Arabidopsis thaliana: one gene and its partners. The protein of the gene in region 1 interacts with the protein of each later gene in a pairwise test. Each region holds a gene or a part of one and is shown in the gene's direction. Other genes may lie near its edges. The genes, in order: RAPTOR1, ARSK1, AT3G63210 and AT3G22550.

Region 1 (4,671 bases):
GTGAAATTGATCACTCTCATCATATAAAGTTGATACTTATGCATTTAAGATAGTGTTTAATACAAATCTTTTGGTATCAAGAAATGGGAGTGTTGGTGGGGAAAGGTGGATTCTATGGGAATGTCTTCAGAATCACTCCTCCTCTCTGCTTCACCCTCTCCGACGCTGGTTAGCTCCTTAGTTTAACATATATATCTTCAAATTGGTTTCTTTTTGTTTCATTTTTTTATTCATGATTTATGTTGTTTCAAATCTTGTATTTTGTAGATTTCCTCGTGGATGTGATGGATCACGCCATGTCCAAGATGTGATTTACTATCTTTATCCGTTCTCTAATGATCACTCACCCTTGTATGTGTATATAAATAACACAATACATCATAAAGTAGAATTACAATTGGTGTTTACCGAAATATATCACAGATGCAAGTATATGTAACTAAATGTACAGTACTGTATACACTTGATAGAATCTACAAATAAATAAAAAACTCGCTGCTAATGATATTCCACAAATACATATATTGATCCGAAGTTTCGAGTTTAGAGTAAAACTTGAATGATACACCTGTGGGGCAAAACAGTTGGTCATCAAAGACGAGGAAGTGGTAGAAATGGCGGCGCCGCGGCGGAGTAGGAAAACGATGTCCGGAGAGCTGTCCTGATCGCGGAAACGAGACTCGTCAGCACGAATATAAGTTCTTCAAGTATGCATAGTGTCTTTCTTATCATCGAATCTTCTTGTTTTCTCGATGCGAGATTCCCAAGTGAGAGAGAGGGAGTTGTGATATTTTTCTGCTGACTTTTAGATATATATGGCCTTTGATAATGTTATTCAGACAAACAAAGTGTCAGCTTGATGTTTGTGTCCAAAATTGATAATATAATGGAATAATTGCAAAACGGAACCTGAAGTTTTGATTAACATGGAATTTGAACCCAATATTTTTTCCCTACACCAAATTTTTAGTTTTTCGGTTTTCATTTTTTTACCAACTACAATAAACCCTAGATGAATTCGGTTTAGAAGACCAGACATTGCTATGTAAGAGTAGAAAAACCGTTGGTGTTTAGATTACACTAATTTAAACGTTATAACACAAAACTGATTAAAACATAAATATACTTATGAAGCGTGTGCAATGATGATCCCTTCATGTACCCCGTTGTACGGAATCCTAGAGGTGATTCGAAGAATTTATGGTAACTCACGTAACAAAGTGTCAGCTAAGTAATTTATGGTTACGAAAATACAATTGTCTCGTTTAAAAAAAAATTAATATAGTTTTAAAAAATCTAATATCGTTTTTAAATTTAATATCATTTCTCTGTTACTAGTTTAGTAGCTTGAATTTTTGTTTTCGTAATTAAACTAGACTGATTTTTTAAATTTAGATTTAGACCGTGATTAGAATAAAAGTGAGTTTTAAGTTGCATTTTAATCAAAGAATCAGATTGAATTTGCGATTAACTTCTCAGTTAATTAGTCGATCCATTGATGGTGTTCTTTGAATTTGTTTCTCAATGATGCATACAAAATTTCAATTTCCACATTTTAAACATAAATTAATTTTAAAATTATAGATATTTAGTATACCTCTCAATCTTATAATATTAGTATTTAATAACATTGCATTAAAGTTAGTAATTAATTAGAGTGGATTTTTGATCTGAAGAGGGTAAAACTAAAAACGGAAAGGAGAAAAAGAATGAAAGAGAAGTGGAAAGAAAACGCAAATGCATTGAAGACTTTCCCTTTGTCTCTCTCTTTGACAAAATCCCAATTTTCGCATCCTCACTTTCTCCTCTGCCTTTTTTTTTTCTCTTCTGCCGCCACCACCACCACCACTGTTAATTCGCCGCCGCTTCCACATCAATCGCCGTCGTAGCCAATCATCATCGTTCTTCATCCTCCGCTTCTCCTGATTCTTAGGGTTTCCGCTTCCGCTTCTCTGTCGAGGGTTTTTCGAGCTGGATTCTCTGCTCCTGCGCCGCTGGTGCAGCGGCTTTGTTGATTGATCTGGATTTCTCCGTCTTCCTTTCTATTTTATTTTCTGTATCTCGCACAATCCAAACAAAAAAGCTAGGGCTGAGGATTTGATTTGCGTGATTTCTGGGGGTGTGTTAATTCGGGGGTGTGTTCTCCGATTTGGATGGCATTAGGAGACTTAATGGTGTCTCGGTTCTCGCAATCTTCTGTTTCTTTGGTCTCCAATCACCGTTACGACGAAGACTGTGTCTCTAGTCACGATGACGGTGATTCCCGGAGGAAGGATTCTGAGGCTAAGAGCAGTAGTAGCTACGGGAATGGTACAACGGAGGGAGCCGCCACCGCCACCAGCATGGCTTACTTGCCTCAGACTATTGTGCTCTGCGAGCTTAGACACGACGCATCCGAGGCTTCTGCTCCCTTGGGGACTTCTGAGATCGTATTGGTCCCCAAATGGCGGCTTAAAGAACGAGTAAGTTTTCAATCGAACATTGTTGGTAGCTGCAAGTATGTTAGACTAGCTTGTTTAGTGCAACTGACGATGTAAGAGGCGGGTAGAACAACTACATTTTCTAGAATTCATTATAAAATCTGCTATTGTTCGCTACTATGTTAGGTAATGTTAACCGAGGAGGGTTGTGTACTTGTGTTAACGTTTTTATTGTGGAGCTGAACCTTAAAGATACATGTTTCCGTTTCGTTTCAATCTCAATGTCTCTTCAGAAATAATTCTATTTCTCGTCGGAAGCTAAATCAGGTGTTCATTGGATCTGATAGCTAGGGGAGTTCTTGCAAGTCTCATATTCTTTGTTAACTTTTCTTCTTCTTCTTTGCAGATGAAAACAGGATGTGTAGCTTTAGTTCTGTGTTTAAACATTACTGTTGATCCGCCGGATGTTATAAAGATATCTCCTTGTGCTAGAATCGAGGCATGGATAGGTTGAAACTTTGGCCTACTCAATCCTATTACACTCTTTCTTTTCTGTGTTTATCCCTTTTTTTTGTCGCCACAGTCAATTTTATCTCTATTTTTTTTCTTTCTGATGGCAGATCCATTTTCTATGGCACCGCCTAAAGCTCTCGAGACAATTGGAAAAAATTTGAGCACTCAGTATGAGAGATGGCAACCCAGGGTGACAATTTTTTTCCCTGCACCCTATCATTATTGTTTTGTTAAGTTACGCTTTTCTTATTTATTTTATGATTTCTCAGGCCCGCTATAAGGTTCAGCTTGATCCGACAGTAGATGAGGTGAGGAAGCTGTGCTTGACTTGTCGGAAATATGCAAAGACCGAGAGAGTTCTATTCCATTATAATGGGCATGGTGTGCCAAAACCTACAGCTAATGGTGAAATTTGGGTATTTAACAAGGTCTGTTTTTTACTAGCGTTTTCTTTTCTCTACCATGTTCTTGTTCCTTCTCGTCTGTTACCACGAGCTGATTGATTCTCTGTTTGAGCAGAGTTATACACAGTACATTCCCTTGCCAATCAGTGAACTTGATTCCTGGTTGAAGACACCCTCCATCTATGTTTTCGACTGCTCTGCTGCTAGGATGATTCTGAATGCCTTTGCTGAGGTAAAGGAAACAACCACTTCACTTATAGAACACATCTCCTGTCGAGTTTAGGACTCGAGTCTGTAATTTTCGTTCCATAAGTTGATAAAATTCATATACTCTTTACGCCAGCTTCATGATTGGGGTTCTTCTGGTTCCTCTGGATCCTCAAGGGACTGCATTCTACTTGCTGCTTGTGATGTACATGAGACACTTCCTCAGAGCGTTGAGTTTCCAGCTGATGTTTTTACGTCTTGCCTGACAACGCCCATTAAAATGGCGTTGAAATGGTAAATCATCATTCCATCTCTGACTTTTTTTGCGTACTCAGATGTCATGTTTTCTTCCTACAAAATGTAGTTTAAGTTCCGTCTAGCTAAGTTTATAAAATCTTAGCTAGTATGTTCTCGCTTCATCATGAGGTAAGATCAAAACTTTTCGGCAGCATTTTGGATGGGACCAAAGATGGATCATAGAGTTTTGTTTAGAAGACCTTGTGCGTATGTTTTAGTTTTGTGGGGTGGTAAAACAGCATATCATAAGAGTTGTGAGATAACCAGGACTGATAATACCTTTAGCTGCCAAGTCACTTTGCATATGGAAGTTTGCTGATGTATGGTTTGCAATAATTCTTTCTGTCCTGGCTAAGTATTTTTGATGATACCAAAAGATTCACGATATCATCCTGATTGATAGCCTTCTCCTTCTGTGATATTTATTCTATAACTAATTGCTACTGAGTCTGTGCGGTTTCAATTCTGGGCTTCTTTTTAACCTTTTTCCAGTAAACAGATCACCATTTTATGTAGTTCAGTTTAGCTTGCAGCTTTTTCACAAGAGGATTTCCATTGCAGGTTCTGCAGGCGTTCGCTTCTGAAAGAAATTATCGATGAATCACTTATCGACAGGATTCCAGGCCGGCAAAACGATCGTAAGACATTGTTAGGGGAGTTGAACTGGATTTTCACAGCAGTGACGGATACAATTGCTTGGAATGTGCTTCCTCATGGTACTTCTCCAAACTTTCTGCATAATTTATCAAGGGTAAATCTTCTTCAAGTTGACTTCTTTTCTGTGTCCTCATGAATGATAGTTTTACCCTGCAGAACTTTTCCAGAGATTA
Region 2 (4,966 bases), on another chromosome or scaffold:
ACCCTAGTAATAGGATAAGAAGGTCGTGAAAAATGAACGAGAAAAAACCCACCAAAACACTATATAAGAAAGACCGAAAAAGTAAAAAGGGTGAGCCATAAACCAAAAACCTTACCAGATGTTGTCAAAGAACAAAAATCATCATCCATGATTAACCTACGCTTCACTACTAAGACAAGGCGATTGTGTCCCGGTTGAAAAGGTTGTAAAACAGTTTGAGGATGCTACAAAAGTGGATGTTAAGTATGAAGCGGCTAAGGTTTTGGATTTGGTCTAGGAGCACATTGGTTAAGCAATATCTTCGGTGGAGATTGAGTTTTTAGAGATAGTAGATACTAATTCATCTATGGAGACATGCAAATTCATCAAAATGCTTGGATGAATTAGAAAAACTAGGTGGAGAATACAGTAAAAAAATTCAAAAAGTGCATATTGTTTGGACAACATTAATATGTACAAATAGTTTACATTTAAATGTATTATTTTACTAATTAAGTACATATAAAGTTGCTAAACTAAACTAATATAATTTTTGCATAAGTAAATTTATCGTTAAAAGTTTTCTTTCTAGCCACTAAACAACAATACAAAATCGCCCAAGTCACCCATTAATTAATTTAGAAGTGAAAAACAAAATCTTAATTATATGGACGATCTTGTCTACCATATTTCAAGGGCTACAGGCCTACAGCCGCCGAATAAATCTTACCAGCCTTAAACCAGAACAACGGCAAATAAGTTCATGTGGCGGCTGGTGATGATTCACAATTTCCCCGACAGTTCTATGATAATGAAACTATATAATTATTGTACGTACATACATGCATGCGACGAACAACACTTCAATTTAATTGTTAGTATTAAATTACATTTATAGTGAAGTATGTTGGGACGATTAGACGGATACAATGCACTTATGTTCTCCGGAAAATGAATCATTTGTGTTCAGAGCATGACTCCAAGAGTCAAAAAAGTTATTAAATTTATTTGAATTTAAAACTTAAAAATAGTGTAATTTTTAACCACCCGCTGCCGCAAACGTTGGCGGAAGAATACGCGGTGTTAAACAATTTTTGTGATCGTTGTCAAACATTTGTAACCGCAATCTCTACTGCACAATCTGTTACGTTTACAATTTACAAGTTAGTATAGAAGAACGTTCGTACCTGAAGACCAACCGACCTTTAGTTATTGAATAAATGATTATTTAGTTAAGAGTAACAAAATCAATGGTTCAAATTTGTTTCTCTTCCTTACTTCTTAAATTTTAATCATGGAAGAAACAAAGTCAACGGACATCCAATTATGGCCTAATCATCTCATTCTCCTTTCAACAAGGCGAATCAAATCTTCTTTATACGTAATATTTATTTGCCAGCCTGAAATGTATACCAAATCATTTTTAAATTAATTGCCTAAATTATTAGAACAAAAACTATTAGTAAATAACTAATTAGTCTTATGAAACTAGAAATCGAGATAGTGGAATATAGAGAGACACCATTAAATTCACAAAATCATTTTTAAATTACCTAAATTATTACAACAAAAACTATTAGACAGAACTAAGTCTATAATGAAACGAGAGATCGTATTTGGAATGTAGAGCGAGAGACAATTTTCAATTCATTGAATATATAAGCAAAATTATATAGCCCGTAGACTTTGGTGAGATGAAGTCTAAGTACAAACAACTGAATGAATTTATAATCAATAATATTGATTATATTGTGATTAGAAAAAGAAAACAACTTGCGTTATTTTTCAATATTATTGTGAGGATTAATGTGAACATGGAATCGTGTTTCTCCTGAAAAAAATATCAGCATAGAGCTTAGAACAATATAAATATATCCACCAAAAATAACTTCAACATTTTTATACAACTAATACAAAAAAAAAAAAGCAAACTTTTTGTATATATAAATAAATTTGAAAACTCAAAGGTCGGTCAGTACGAATAAGACACAACAACTACTATAAATTAGAGGACTTTGAAGACAAGTAGGTTAACTAGAACATCCTTAATTTCTAAACCTACGCACTCTACAAAAGATTCATCAAAAGGAGTAAAAGACTAACTTTCTCCATTTTTTCCCCAAATAACACAAAAGAAGAAGTTGAAAATGGCAGTGTTCAAGAAGAAGAAAACATCATTGACATCTCTGTTCTTGGGGTGTTACAAGGCAAAGAACGCAAGCAAATACGAAGGAGGGGAGAAGGCTGTAATGAAAATAAGAACTTGTCCAGCGTTCAAGAGGCTGTCTTTATCGGACATAAGCGATCCAAGCTCGCCCATGTCGGTTATGGATGATCTCTCTCACTCCTTCACATCGCAGAAGCTTCGTTTGTTCACGTTGTCTGAGCTGAGAGTGATTACGCATAATTTCTCTAGAAGTAACATGTTGGGGGAAGGAGGGTTTGGGCCGGTTTACAAAGGGTTTATTGATGATAAGGTTAAACCGGGTATCGAAGCCCAACCGGTTGCTGTAAAGGCTCTTGATCTTCATGGCCATCAAGGCCATAGAGAATGGCTGGTAACATTTCTTTCTCTTTATGTATGTTTTTGTCTACATTCAAGACTTTTCTATTCACAAGGAACAATTTAATTACGAAGACCGTCTCGATTATTTTATATATTTTTTGAATTTTGGTTTATCTTCTTAATTAGCTATATGAATCTGGCCATTTTTCAGTATGTTATTAAATATATATATCTTTTGTGAAATTTCTTCATAAAGTTTTTTTTTTCAGTGTATACAAAATTTATTTTTGTTTGCAGGCGGAGATATTATTTTTGGGACAACTAAGTAACAAACATCTTGTGAAGCTGATAGGGTTTTGTTGTGAAGAAGAGCAAAGAGTTCTTGTTTATGAGTACATGCCTCGAGGTAGCTTGGAGAATCAGCTCTTTCGAAGTACGTCATCTACTATATTTTTACCTAACTTGCTAAAAGTTGTTTCAATTTTTGCTATATATGTTCTAGACCGCGTTACAAAACATTTTTTCTGTTTAAACCTAAAAGAACAACTCCACGAAGACTTTAATTACGTTTTAGTTATAGAATGACAAGAATAAAAAATATTGAAGAAAAGAATCCATATGGTTCACGTTAACTTCGTCAAGTTCTTACTTTATTTATGGGTCGTACACTACATTAATAACTTCTTAAAAAACTATATATTTTTTATAATTTAGATAATATTCAATAGTATTACTAACTTTGAAAAGTGTGTGAATTGGGACAGGAAATAGCTTAGCAATGGCTTGGGGAATAAGGATGAAGATAGCTCTCGGAGCCGCCAAAGGTTTAGCTTTTCTCCATGAAGCAGAGAAACCTGTCATCTACAGAGACTTTAAAACCTCTAACATATTGTTAGACTCCGTGAGTTTTTTTTTCCTTTTTAAATTTTGTATCCACTATTAAATCAAATTAAAGTGGTATTTCTCAACTGACTCTTTGATATTTCAGGACTATAACGCCAAATTATCTGACTTCGGTCTAGCCAAAGATGGACCTGAAGGCGAACATACGCATGTAACTACCCGAGTGATGGGAACACAAGGTTATGCTGCGCCCGAATATATCATGACTGGTAACATTTTTGTAAGGAATTTATTTCTTTTACCGTGAAGCGATATTCTTTGAGATATGTCTTTAATGGTTTACATGTGTTGTAGGTCATTTGACGACGATGAATGATGTATACAGTTTTGGAGTAGTTTTGTTAGAGCTGATAACCGGAAAACGGTCAATGGACAATACCCGAACACGGAGGGAACAAAGCCTAGTGGAATGGGCGCGGCCTATGTTAAGGGACCAAAGAAAGTTAGAGAGGATAATTGACCCGAGGCTCGCGAACCAGCACAAAACAGAAGCGGCTCAGGTAGCTGCTTCCCTAGCATACAAGTGTCTAAGCCAACATCCTAAGTATAGACCTACAATGTGTGAGGTGGTTAAGGTCTTAGAGTCTATCCAAGAAGTTGATATTAGGAAGCATGATGGCAATAACAACAAAGAAGGAAAGAAGTTTGTTGATATAAATAAGTTTAGGCATCACCGTAAAGGCAAAAGACGTGTGAACATCGCTTATTCAGATTCTCTCGTTTACAAGGAATCCAAGGCAAAGCAAAACGATGGCATTTGAAATACATCATTTTCTCATATGAATTATTAAGCATTCATATTCTATGAACGCAATTCTTATCTTAAGTTATGACCATTCTTCCAAAAATTTGAAGGAAAGAAAGGTGATGTTATAAGTATCCTAGTTCTCTGGTATTTTAGATTAATTTCCTTTACATAATTCAAAAATACTTTGTACAAAAGAGTCATGTACAAGAAATATAAAATAAATGTTTGTAAATCATATATATATACACCAGTTTGTTGGGCGGACAACGTTGAAGTTATTTCGCTCTTTAAAACATAGTAGATGATCACTTGGTTGGTTATTATGGAGATTGGAATTGCAATAAAATCAAATCATGTATGGTACGGCAGCTACCCCTAGATTATTCTTGGTGATTCCAATGAAATTATGAGCTCCTCGGAGCACTCTCGTTTTCAAGATTACATATGAAACCGTTTGGGTATATTTGAGTTTCAGAATGCTGTATAAATGTAATAAATTATTAAATTTTTATATTTATTTTATCTATATCAACAATAAGTATACTTTTTTCCCTAGATGACTTAAATTCAAAGCAAATTAACAATAACAATCAGTTTGAAGATTATTTTTCCTAAATATAAATATAATTGTATAAACTTTAATTAGATTTTTAAAATAATAAGCTAATTCAGGATATTCAAAATATATAGAGAAATCTTATTAAAAAAAAAAATTAGTTGAAAGGAAATAGTTAACCTAATAAAAGCAAGTAATCAAAGCCCAAAAATTTACAATTAAAACCCTTAGTGATAAGGATTAAGTGTCATTAGTAGTTAATAAATAAATGTTG
Region 3 (4,435 bases), about 21 Mb from region 1:
AATAGCAGCTATGTCTTGAGAAAATGTCATCAAAGCCTGGTTATTGTCTATAAACGAATAGCAGATTTATGTCTTGAGAAAATATCATTTATGAGTCTGGTGAAAAAAAAAAAAAAAAAATAGGTCTATTGATTGGGCTATATGTGGGAATGATATCAGGTTGGGTTTGGACAGGTTGCATAAGTTATTTTGTGTTGGGCCTTAAACAATCTGAAAGAGCAATATGGGTTTGAACATGGAGATATTTGGTCATTGAACAGAAAAACAAAATTGTGGTATTCAAGCTCTAAGGAGTATTTTGTAGTGTATAAGAGTAATGATTCGGATTTAAGACATGTTGACAAAGAAGCAATGATTTAAGAAAATGGACCTCTCATTATCTTGCTCATTTGCTTTCTTTATCTTTGGTAATTAGGGTGATATGACTATATCCTTGATAAACACAATATATCGGTGCCACTTTCGAATTAATAATAACCATGATTAAAGATGGCGAGTCATCAAAGAAATCATGAAATGGAAAGAAATATAAAAATTTCAGTATCGAATCAAATGAATGATTAGTGCTGATTCCACTCCAATTATATTTTATAACCTCTACGTCAGGTGGTTTAGAAGGAAATCAATCTATCAAGAGTCACGTCTATGGATTGGGAGTCAAAACATATACGTATGCTTCTGGTAGTAGTCGTAGTGATTAAGGGATCAAAGTTGTTAGACTGAATGGGTTACAAACACAATTACGGAATCGATGGACACACTCATTACATTAAAAAGAAATAGCACATTCAATGGCATATATGGATGAGTAGTCGCTATTTGTTTCTTCTTATTTGTAAGAAAATTAATCAGATGGATATTCACAAAATTAGATTTATCCGAAAGAAAAAAAAAAAAAAAAAGAGAAACCCAATTGAGGCAAGAAGAGACCTTGAGGCATGAAAACAAGACACAAATACACAAAATTTCCTTGGCTAAACAAAACATAGAAAATAAAAGCTTGAATCGACAGGGGGAGAAGAAAAGGCCAATATGATCACAACGTCATAGAAATAGCGAAAACCGTAGAGGAGGAGGAGGAGAGGACCTACACACTCCTGTCCACATCCTTTTAGCCCCACCGTGGGTCTATCACTAATTCCTTCCTCTATCGTATTATATCCGAATACGTTACTTTTCTTTCCCTACTAGGCTACCAAGTAATATTTATGTTTTCTTTTGCGTTGATTATTTGTAAGTGAAGTTATGATTATACATAATCTTGCAACTTGAAACTCTTTTTGTTTTTTCTTGAATCTTGGTATGAATCAGAAGTTGACGAGCTTAAACAATGAAAATGCGATAGTTAGATGGGATTCGAGAAAAACAAGATCAACAACAATAAAAGTGGTTCGACGAGTTATATAACTTTTTGGGTCAAATAAGTGATTATTATTATATAATTTGTCTTGTAATGGAGTAAAACGCATCAAGACCATTCAATCAAACGTTTACTAGTAGACAAACACACGTGGCGCTTATCTAGAACTTAATTATTGGATTAAGCAAAGCAGGTGCAACTGTGGACCCCCCTCTGATTACATTTGTTTTTTATCCACAAACTGTTTATAAAATATTTAGTAGTATAGATTAACATGTACATTATTCACTGATTATTGTTCCTACATTTTTAAATAACGTCACTGATTCTTTGATTAATAAAACAAGAAACCCAAATGAAAGTGAATTATGATTTGAGAAAGACAAACGAAATAATGACAAAATGCCGTATTATATAATAATGGATACAAATTGTAAGAAATAAATAACTCACAGTTTTTTTTACAAAAATGAAAAATAGTAGTATAAAATAAAAGGAGAGCCTGTGTTTCAGAGGCCCAAACATCAATGCACAAATAATGAATGTATCGCCGTTCAAGTGTATACCTAATAAACTAAATAAAAGTTTGTACATGCAACAAAAATAAAGAGAGAGTACAAATTCGATAATCTTGCAAAAGATGTTTCCAATCTTTTATCGTCGACCCAAAATGTAGTATGTTGTTGTTAAAATACACGACGACAAAAAAAAGAGAGTACGATACACATTCAATCATATCCGGTCCCTAATATGAATAATGGATCGAAAATAATTGAGATCTCTATGTGTTAATAAATGTAAGGGGTAAATCCGTAAAGTTGCATGCATTTCTTGGTTAAATCTACAACGTCCCGTCTCTCGAGATCACTCTCTCTCTCTCGCTCTTTGGAAGGAATAAAGAAGAGAGGAAAGAGATAAGTGAAAGCAACTTTTAATCTGATTTTTGCGAGTGAGGAGAGGATCATCATTTCATAGGAGTGAGAGACCCCATTAATACCAGAAGCAGTCAGAGTTTCTCAATAATTGTACCAAATTCTCTCTATTCTTCTTCTCTTTCATTTTAGATATTTTCTCTTACGCAGACTCATTGCTTTCCTCTCTCCATGGAAGCTACTGAGTTATGATCCTTACCCTCACCGGTCTTTAACTATGCTTAGAAACAAACCTAGAGCAGCCGTGACGACTAAGAAACAAACATCTCTGTTAATGGCTGATCAACCTCCACCTCCAAAGCCTAACACTTGCCACTGCTCACCATCTCTCTTTAGCTCTCCCAAGTTTAGGTTTTTCACTTCTAAGATGATGATGACTCCCTTTGACTCTGATTTCTCACTCGTTAGCCCTACGTCTATACTCGAAGCTAACCCATCCATCTTCTCCTCCAAAAACCCTAAACCCGTTTCCTATTTCGAGCCAACTATCCCTAATCCCCAGCGTTTTCACTCTCCAGACGTCTTTGGCCTAGCCGATCTCGTGAAAGACGGAGACAGTAACAGAGACCACTCTAGAAAACCTGTCAACAAGATGGTCCTTTTCGGGTCAAAGCTCAGAGTCCAGATCCCATCATCAGCTGATTTTGGAACTAAAACCGGCATCAGATATCCTCCTTGTCAACTTAGTCCTTGTGTCCAAACGAAGGTCTTAGCAGTGAGCGAGATTGACCAGACGGAGGACTACACGCGCGTCATCTCTCACGGTCCTAACCCAACCATCACTCATATCTTCGACAACTCTGTTTTCGTGGAGGCTACTCCTTGCTCTGTTCCTTTACCCCAACCAGCCATGGAGACCAAGAGCACCGAGAGTTTTCTAAGCCGTTGCTTCACCTGCAAGAAGAATCTTGACCAGAAACAGGACATCTACATATACAGGTTCGTACCTCCACAATCTTTTATCTATGTATTTGACTTTAATCAGATCATAGAGTGGTTCCAAAACTAAACTTAATCACAATGGTTGTGGTGCAGGGGAGAGAAAGGTTTTTGCAGCAGCGAGTGCAGGTACCAGGAGATGCTTCTTGATCAAATGGAGACCTAGCTAGCACTCCTTCTCCATCTCTTTTCATTTTTATTGATTTTGTCACAGCATCATCTACTTTTGTATTATTCTTTTAGTTCTCTGATGCTTCTTCTCTTTCTTTCTTTTTTTGGGTGGGGGTATTTGTATTTCTAGTCATAACCTTTCTCGCCTGCAGATATGTGAAAGATAGAGAGAGAGTTGATAACTTTTTTCTTTGTGTCATGAGAGTGAGTGACTCGGAGGGCTCAATAATATCATAAACTTGCAGAATACTGCCATCTGAATCAGAAAATATCAAAAGCATCAGTCTTTTCCATAACCTAACATTCGTCGTGGCTCTATGCGGTCTTGTAGAGGGAAAATGTTATTGCTATAAGGCCATTTGCTTTTTGATTTAATTTTGTTAACTTTGACAGCGCCAAGTTACAACAATATATCAAGTTTTGTTACCGTTTACCTCAGATTCTGAACTCAGACTCATTTTTCAGTCGAGAAAGGTTTCTGGGAAGCCATTGAACTCGTGTTTTTATCCTGTGAAATGAGTCTGATTTGGTGTTTACAAGTAAGTATATAATAACTCTAATCGCAATCAAACCAAACCAGATCAAACCATAGATGCAGGGGAGGGGATTTTGAGTGGTTAAATATCGATGGGCTATATCATGCATAATTAGGCCGGTCCCTAATAATACGGGCCAGATATGGGCCGTTTCTAATAGGGTCCGCAAGTAATGAGGTTAGAGTCCCAGGGATGATTGCATGTCTCGGTGGCGTGCCCAATTTGCAAGACAGATAACTAAATGTTGAGGACCCTCATCACTTTTTTTTTTTTGGAATAGACTCGTAAATTTAATATCAGAGCAGCTAGAAGGCCCAATCTCACGGAACCATTTAATTGTAAAAACAAAGTGTGAAGTTGTGTCAGTATCATGTTTAAGTTTATTATTCGAATCAGCCAGTACCTTAATATATGCAACATGGATGTTGGAGTAGATGTTAAGACTAATGAGAGGAAGGTCGTATATACTAGATATAGCCATATAGGAGATACCAAAA
Region 4 (4,519 bases), 5.3 Mb from region 1:
ACATTAATAAAAAAAGTTAAATATAATTAATATACCGTTTCAATACGGGTTAAATCTTTAATTTATTATTTTTTAAGACCACTAATATTAAACATATCAAATCATCCTAATTTAGAAAAGATTATATAAAACCAAAAATGTTATGGGGTATGTATAATGTTACTATATATAAAATATAAATGTATTAGAGAATGATATAATTTGCAAAACTTTTATATTCTTAAATTTTAAAAATTACTACTTTAAAAAAAAAATCACGGGACGGGTAAAGAAATTATAGAACGAGTTTTATTTTGTAATTGGGTTATATGGTGGATGTATTTGAATCAATATTTATAAAATTTTAAAATATTATTAATATGCTGTTTTAATAGGGGTTACAACTTTAGTTTTTCAACAATTGTCTCATAGATTCGTGTTATAGCCTTACTTAATAACAATTATAAACTGTAAAATATAAATATTTTATAAAAATAAAATTTGCAAATTTTAATATATATTACTTTTAAAAAATAAATCGTCCCGCGGTATACCGCGGGTTAAAATTTAGTCAATTTTTATGGAACAAGAATAAAACCTAAAACATTAAACTTTATGGACCATAGAGTATGTAGTAGCAATTAATAGTGTTTGTTTAAAGTAATGATTATCAAGTTTGCTCATACGAATTTATCACTAGTTTTGGTTTTAAGTAGTGATATTTTTTTCGTGTTATACATATATAATATAACAAGTGTGTAATGTCCACCCAAAGAGACTAGCCAGCTACGAAAGCAAAAGAGATATTCAGTTAAGATTGTGAAATATATTCGTACGTATGATCGTATCTCATTCCATTACGATTCTGAGCGACCGAGTCCACCCACACTTAGCTCCCATGCTAACAATATAGTCATCATCACCACCACAACGTACCTTAACATCATTACACGAGAAAAAGTATATATGAAATAATGATTTTAAAAGAGAACCAAAAGTTCTCGTATTCATCATCTCTATTTGTCTCCCGTTGAAGAAACTAGCTTAGTTCGTGTTTATATGAGTTACTCCCGTTGAAGAAACTGCGGTTAAGAGAAATTTTTGATGGATAAAGTTATACTTATAGTCACGATAAGAAGATATGATCGATAAATCCATATACATATGTGACATTATTTTACTAGCAAAGGATCTCTTTCTGTCTTTCATATCCCATCTATAATTTTAGATGAAAATGAAGTAGAATAATATATTTTGTTTCTACATTTCCATCTCCAAAACAGTCTTCTTCAATATCTTTCTTATTCACACCTTTTAAATATGTAATGTTATCACCTAACAGTAATAGACAATTTACTTAATCACCATATGCAAGTGAGAAGTACATTTTTCTTCTATATTAAATGACATGCAAGACGTAAACAACTTTGCAAACTTCTGTTTTGAAAACGTTTTAGTACACTATAATGTGAATTTCTAATCAAAATACGAAAAGTTATATAATACTATAATACTTAAAATAAATCACATATATTTCAATATTTGTGATAGTACATTAGTACTCCTCCATTGATAGATTAGTCGTAACTAGTACGATATACAACACGAGTATTATTCAACTTCTTTCTCATTAAATTTCTAAAGTTCCTTTTCTCTAAAATAAACAAATAAAATAATATAGAAAGAAAACTATAAGAAAATTCCAAAATAAAATAAAAAGACGAAAGGGTCAGTAGAAAACGACGTGAGTGGTTCCTTGGCATAACCCAAAAAGCAAAATAATAAATCAGCAAAGAATAAAAAGACAAAATTCCTAAAATCAATAATAATTTATACAATAAAACGAATTTAGGAAGTTTCACTGGTGAAGTGGTTTTCTTCACCCACTGATTTCTATTGTAAATCTCTCTCCCTCTATATATGTGATTCATATAAGTATTATTATTTGATAGAGAAGCTAAGTGTGTGTCTCTTTAGTGCTCTCTGTTTTCTTCTGCTTATGAAAAAACTTCATGGCGAATTTTGAGGATATGGAAGAGAATCAGTGGGGATGTTTTGTTTTCTTTTCTCTTTCTCAGTTCATCGAAACTATAACCCACTAAACATACAAAACCAAATTATTTATAAAAAGCAAAAGCAAACAAAAACAAATAAACGGATCAATTTCTTTCTTTTGTTTGTTTCTTCTTCTTTTCTCCAATCTCTAGTGTAACGTTTCATGTCACTTGATAAATAAAATATTTTAGGAAGAAAGTGCGAGAAACTCGGGAGTTATACAAAAAAATAACATTTTTGTAGAAAAAAAGCTCTCGTCTTTTCAGTTACTTTTCTCTTTTGTCACACTTTCATATTTTTTTCTCTAATCATGGAGGCAACAGAATTGCATTAGCTTCATTTTCTCTCATACTTCCACAACCTGTAACTTTCTGATCTTCCAGGTTAGTTCACACAATTTTGCATGATTGAGTTACAAAGTTATGATTTTTATGTGTTATTGAGTTACATGTTATGATCTTTTTGTGTAATTGTTATAAAGTTTTGATTGTTATAAAGTTTTGATCTTTTTTGTGTGTGTGTGTGATTGAGCAGTGAATTATGCTAAAGAAGAGATCAAGAAGCAAGCAAGCTTTAATGGCGGAAACAAACCAGAGTCAGAATCAGAAACAGAGTAAAACGACGCCGTTTCCGAGGCTCTTCACAGCTTTTAGTAGCTTTAAAAGCTTCACTGAAAACGACGCCGTCGCGAGTCCAACTTCAATTCTCGACACCAAACCTTTCTCTGTTTTGAAAAACCCATTTGGATCCGATAACCCGAAAACCCAAGAACCCGAAACCCGTCTCAAACTCGAACCCAAAAGAATCGGACTCGCCATTGTCGATTCTCTAATCCAAGACGAAACACCCGAACCCGGACCGAGATCCGGGACAATTCTATTCGGGTCTCAGCTTCGGATCCGGGTCCCGGATTCTCCGATTTCCTCGTCGGATTTCGGGATCAAAACGAGGAATTCTCAACCGGAGACGAAGAAACCGGGTTCCGAGTCGGGTCTTGGGTCTCCCAGAATCATCTCCGGCTATTTCCCGGCGAGCGATATGGAGTTATCGGAGGATTACACATGCGTGACGTGTCACGGGCCTAACCCGAGAACCATTCATATATTCGATAACTGTATCGTTGAGAGCCAACCCGGCGTCGTTTTCTTCCGGAGCTCCGACCCGGTTAATGAATCGGATTCGGATTATTCCCCACCCGACAGTTTTCTCAGTTGTTGCTGTAACTGTAAGAAGAGTCTTGGGCCTCGTGATGACATTTTCATGTACAGGTTTGGCTTATTTTCATATTTTTACATTTCAATTAAATGGTGACATTTACAATGTGAAATTTAATATAAATTATGAGAAAATTAATATTTAGAATGGCTAATTAATTTAATTTTTTAATTAATAATTTTTAAAAATAAATAAATAAGTAATTTTTGTTTTGATTTTAATTTGCAGGGGAGATAGAGCTTTCTGTAGCAGTGAATGCAGGTCCATAGAGATGATGATGTCAGAGGAAAATGATACTAAATGAAATAAGTTTTTATTTGAGCTATATATAAAAAAAAAGTTATGATAATGACTATGATTAATAAAACGTTAGATATGGTGAATTTTGTTTAGTTGCTTTTGTTTTGGTTTGGAGAAGAGTTTGGTATCGGTATCTATGTGTATTATGTGTCTACATGCATAATCATATATACATGTTTTACTTTAATGGTTACTTTTAATCTTTAATAAACAGTAGAGATCACAATAACTCAATTCCATTTGCGGTGTCAAGACAGAAAACTAAAACACGAGCATCAAAATTCAAGAAGGAGAAGACACATAATTCTTAGTTTCGTGTTTTGATACTCGGACATGTAAATTAGTCTATTTCTCGTCTTCAATGTTTGAAATCGTGATTTGAAAATCTCCTTAGATTACTAACTAGTCACCGAGCTATAGATGCATGTATGATTTTCTTACTATAAGTAACTATGTTTTGATATGAAGAAGATAACAAACAATGAAATGACAATCGAACAATGTAAAAGACAGTTGCAAAGATATGTCACATTGAGGATATTCAATGGCTAGTTACGTGGAAATGATGTTATAGATCAAGAAGCTCTATGTGTTTTCACATCCTTCTTTTGTTTTTTCTTTATCTAAGAGACAATGTGATATAAACAACTTGTAGTACTATTTCGAAGAGCATTACACTATTATATAGCCCTCATCTAATTTGAATTGATACATCAAAATCCTAATAATTTATGTCTTACTTGAGTGACTATCTTAAATGAGCACATTGAATTTTATTTGAGATAATAATTATACAAGAATGACTGACACCGTTTCGTTGTCAACATTAAAAACTCTGATTATTTTTTCCAAAAAATGATATAAATTAGTGAGGTACATTATGTTAACCATTAAAATTTGTATAAGATCCTCACCACTCCAATTATAAACAAATTTAAAGCAATTTTGAAAGCTTAGTTGACAAAAAAAA

Evidence for each region.
Region 2: the proteins of RAPTOR1 (region 1) and ARSK1 interact in a two-hybrid assay, tested with the Arabidopsis thaliana proteins (one large-scale study listed by BioGRID).
Region 3: the proteins of RAPTOR1 (region 1) and AT3G63210 interact in a two-hybrid assay, tested with the Arabidopsis thaliana proteins (one large-scale study listed by BioGRID).
Region 4: the proteins of RAPTOR1 (region 1) and AT3G22550 interact in a two-hybrid assay, tested with the Arabidopsis thaliana proteins (one large-scale study listed by BioGRID).

The regions. Positions count from the first base shown.
Region 1 is NC_003074.8:2,692,394-2,697,064, reverse strand, and holds the start of RAPTOR1 (Regulatory-associated protein of TOR 1), read left to right. Parts: upstream 1-1,664; 5' UTR 1,665-2,153; coding exon 2,154-2,462; intron 2,463-2,826; coding exon 2,827-2,929; intron 2,930-3,040; coding exon 3,041-3,123; intron 3,124-3,202; coding exon 3,203-3,361; intron 3,362-3,452; coding exon 3,453-3,569; intron 3,570-3,680; coding exon 3,681-3,838; intron 3,839-4,402; coding exon 4,403-4,557; intron 4,558-4,654; coding exon 4,655-4,671. Other genes in the region: PYD4 (PYRIMIDINE 4), read left to right, coding at 82-168, 268-311. UniProt on the Arabidopsis thaliana protein: Probable component of the plant TOR kinase pathway that recruits substrates for TOR. Modulates plant cell growth and regulates the activity of ATPK1 kinase in response to osmotic stress.
Region 2 is NC_003071.7:11,191,420-11,196,385, reverse strand, and holds ARSK1 (root-specific kinase 1), read left to right. Parts: upstream 1-1,954; 5' UTR 1,955-2,126; coding exon 2,127-2,537; intron 2,538-2,782; coding exon 2,783-2,918; intron 2,919-3,249; coding exon 3,250-3,386; intron 3,387-3,473; coding exon 3,474-3,597; intron 3,598-3,682; coding exon 3,683-4,149; 3' UTR 4,150-4,408; downstream 4,409-4,966. UniProt on the Arabidopsis thaliana protein: May play a role in the signal transduction pathway of osmotic stress. May be involved in plant defense signaling.
Region 3 is NC_003074.8:23,352,981-23,357,415, reverse strand, and holds AT3G63210 (mediator of aba-regulated dormancy protein (DUF581)), read left to right. Parts: upstream 1-1,935; 5' UTR 1,936-2,509; coding exon 2,510-3,231; intron 3,232-3,311; coding exon of another isoform or gene 3,312-3,327; coding exon 3,328-3,397; coding exon of another isoform or gene 3,398-3,425; 3' UTR 3,426-3,902; downstream 3,903-4,435. Other genes in the region: AT3G63215 (uncharacterized protein), read right to left, coding at 3,076-3,186, 3,312-3,425. UniProt on the Arabidopsis thaliana protein: May act as an adapter to facilitate the interaction of SnRK1 complex with effector proteins, conferring tissue- and stimulus-type specific differences in the SnRK1 regulation pathway. Involved in seed dormancy control.
Region 4 is NC_003074.8:7,990,861-7,995,379, reverse strand, and holds AT3G22550 (NAD(P)H-quinone oxidoreductase subunit, putative (DUF581)), read left to right. Parts: upstream 1-1,791; 5' UTR 1,792-2,417; intron 2,418-2,568; 5' UTR 2,569-2,574; coding exon 2,575-3,302; intron 3,303-3,477; coding exon 3,478-3,553; 3' UTR 3,554-3,977; downstream 3,978-4,519. UniProt on the Arabidopsis thaliana protein: May act as an adapter to facilitate the interaction of SnRK1 complex with effector proteins, conferring tissue- and stimulus-type specific differences in the SnRK1 regulation pathway.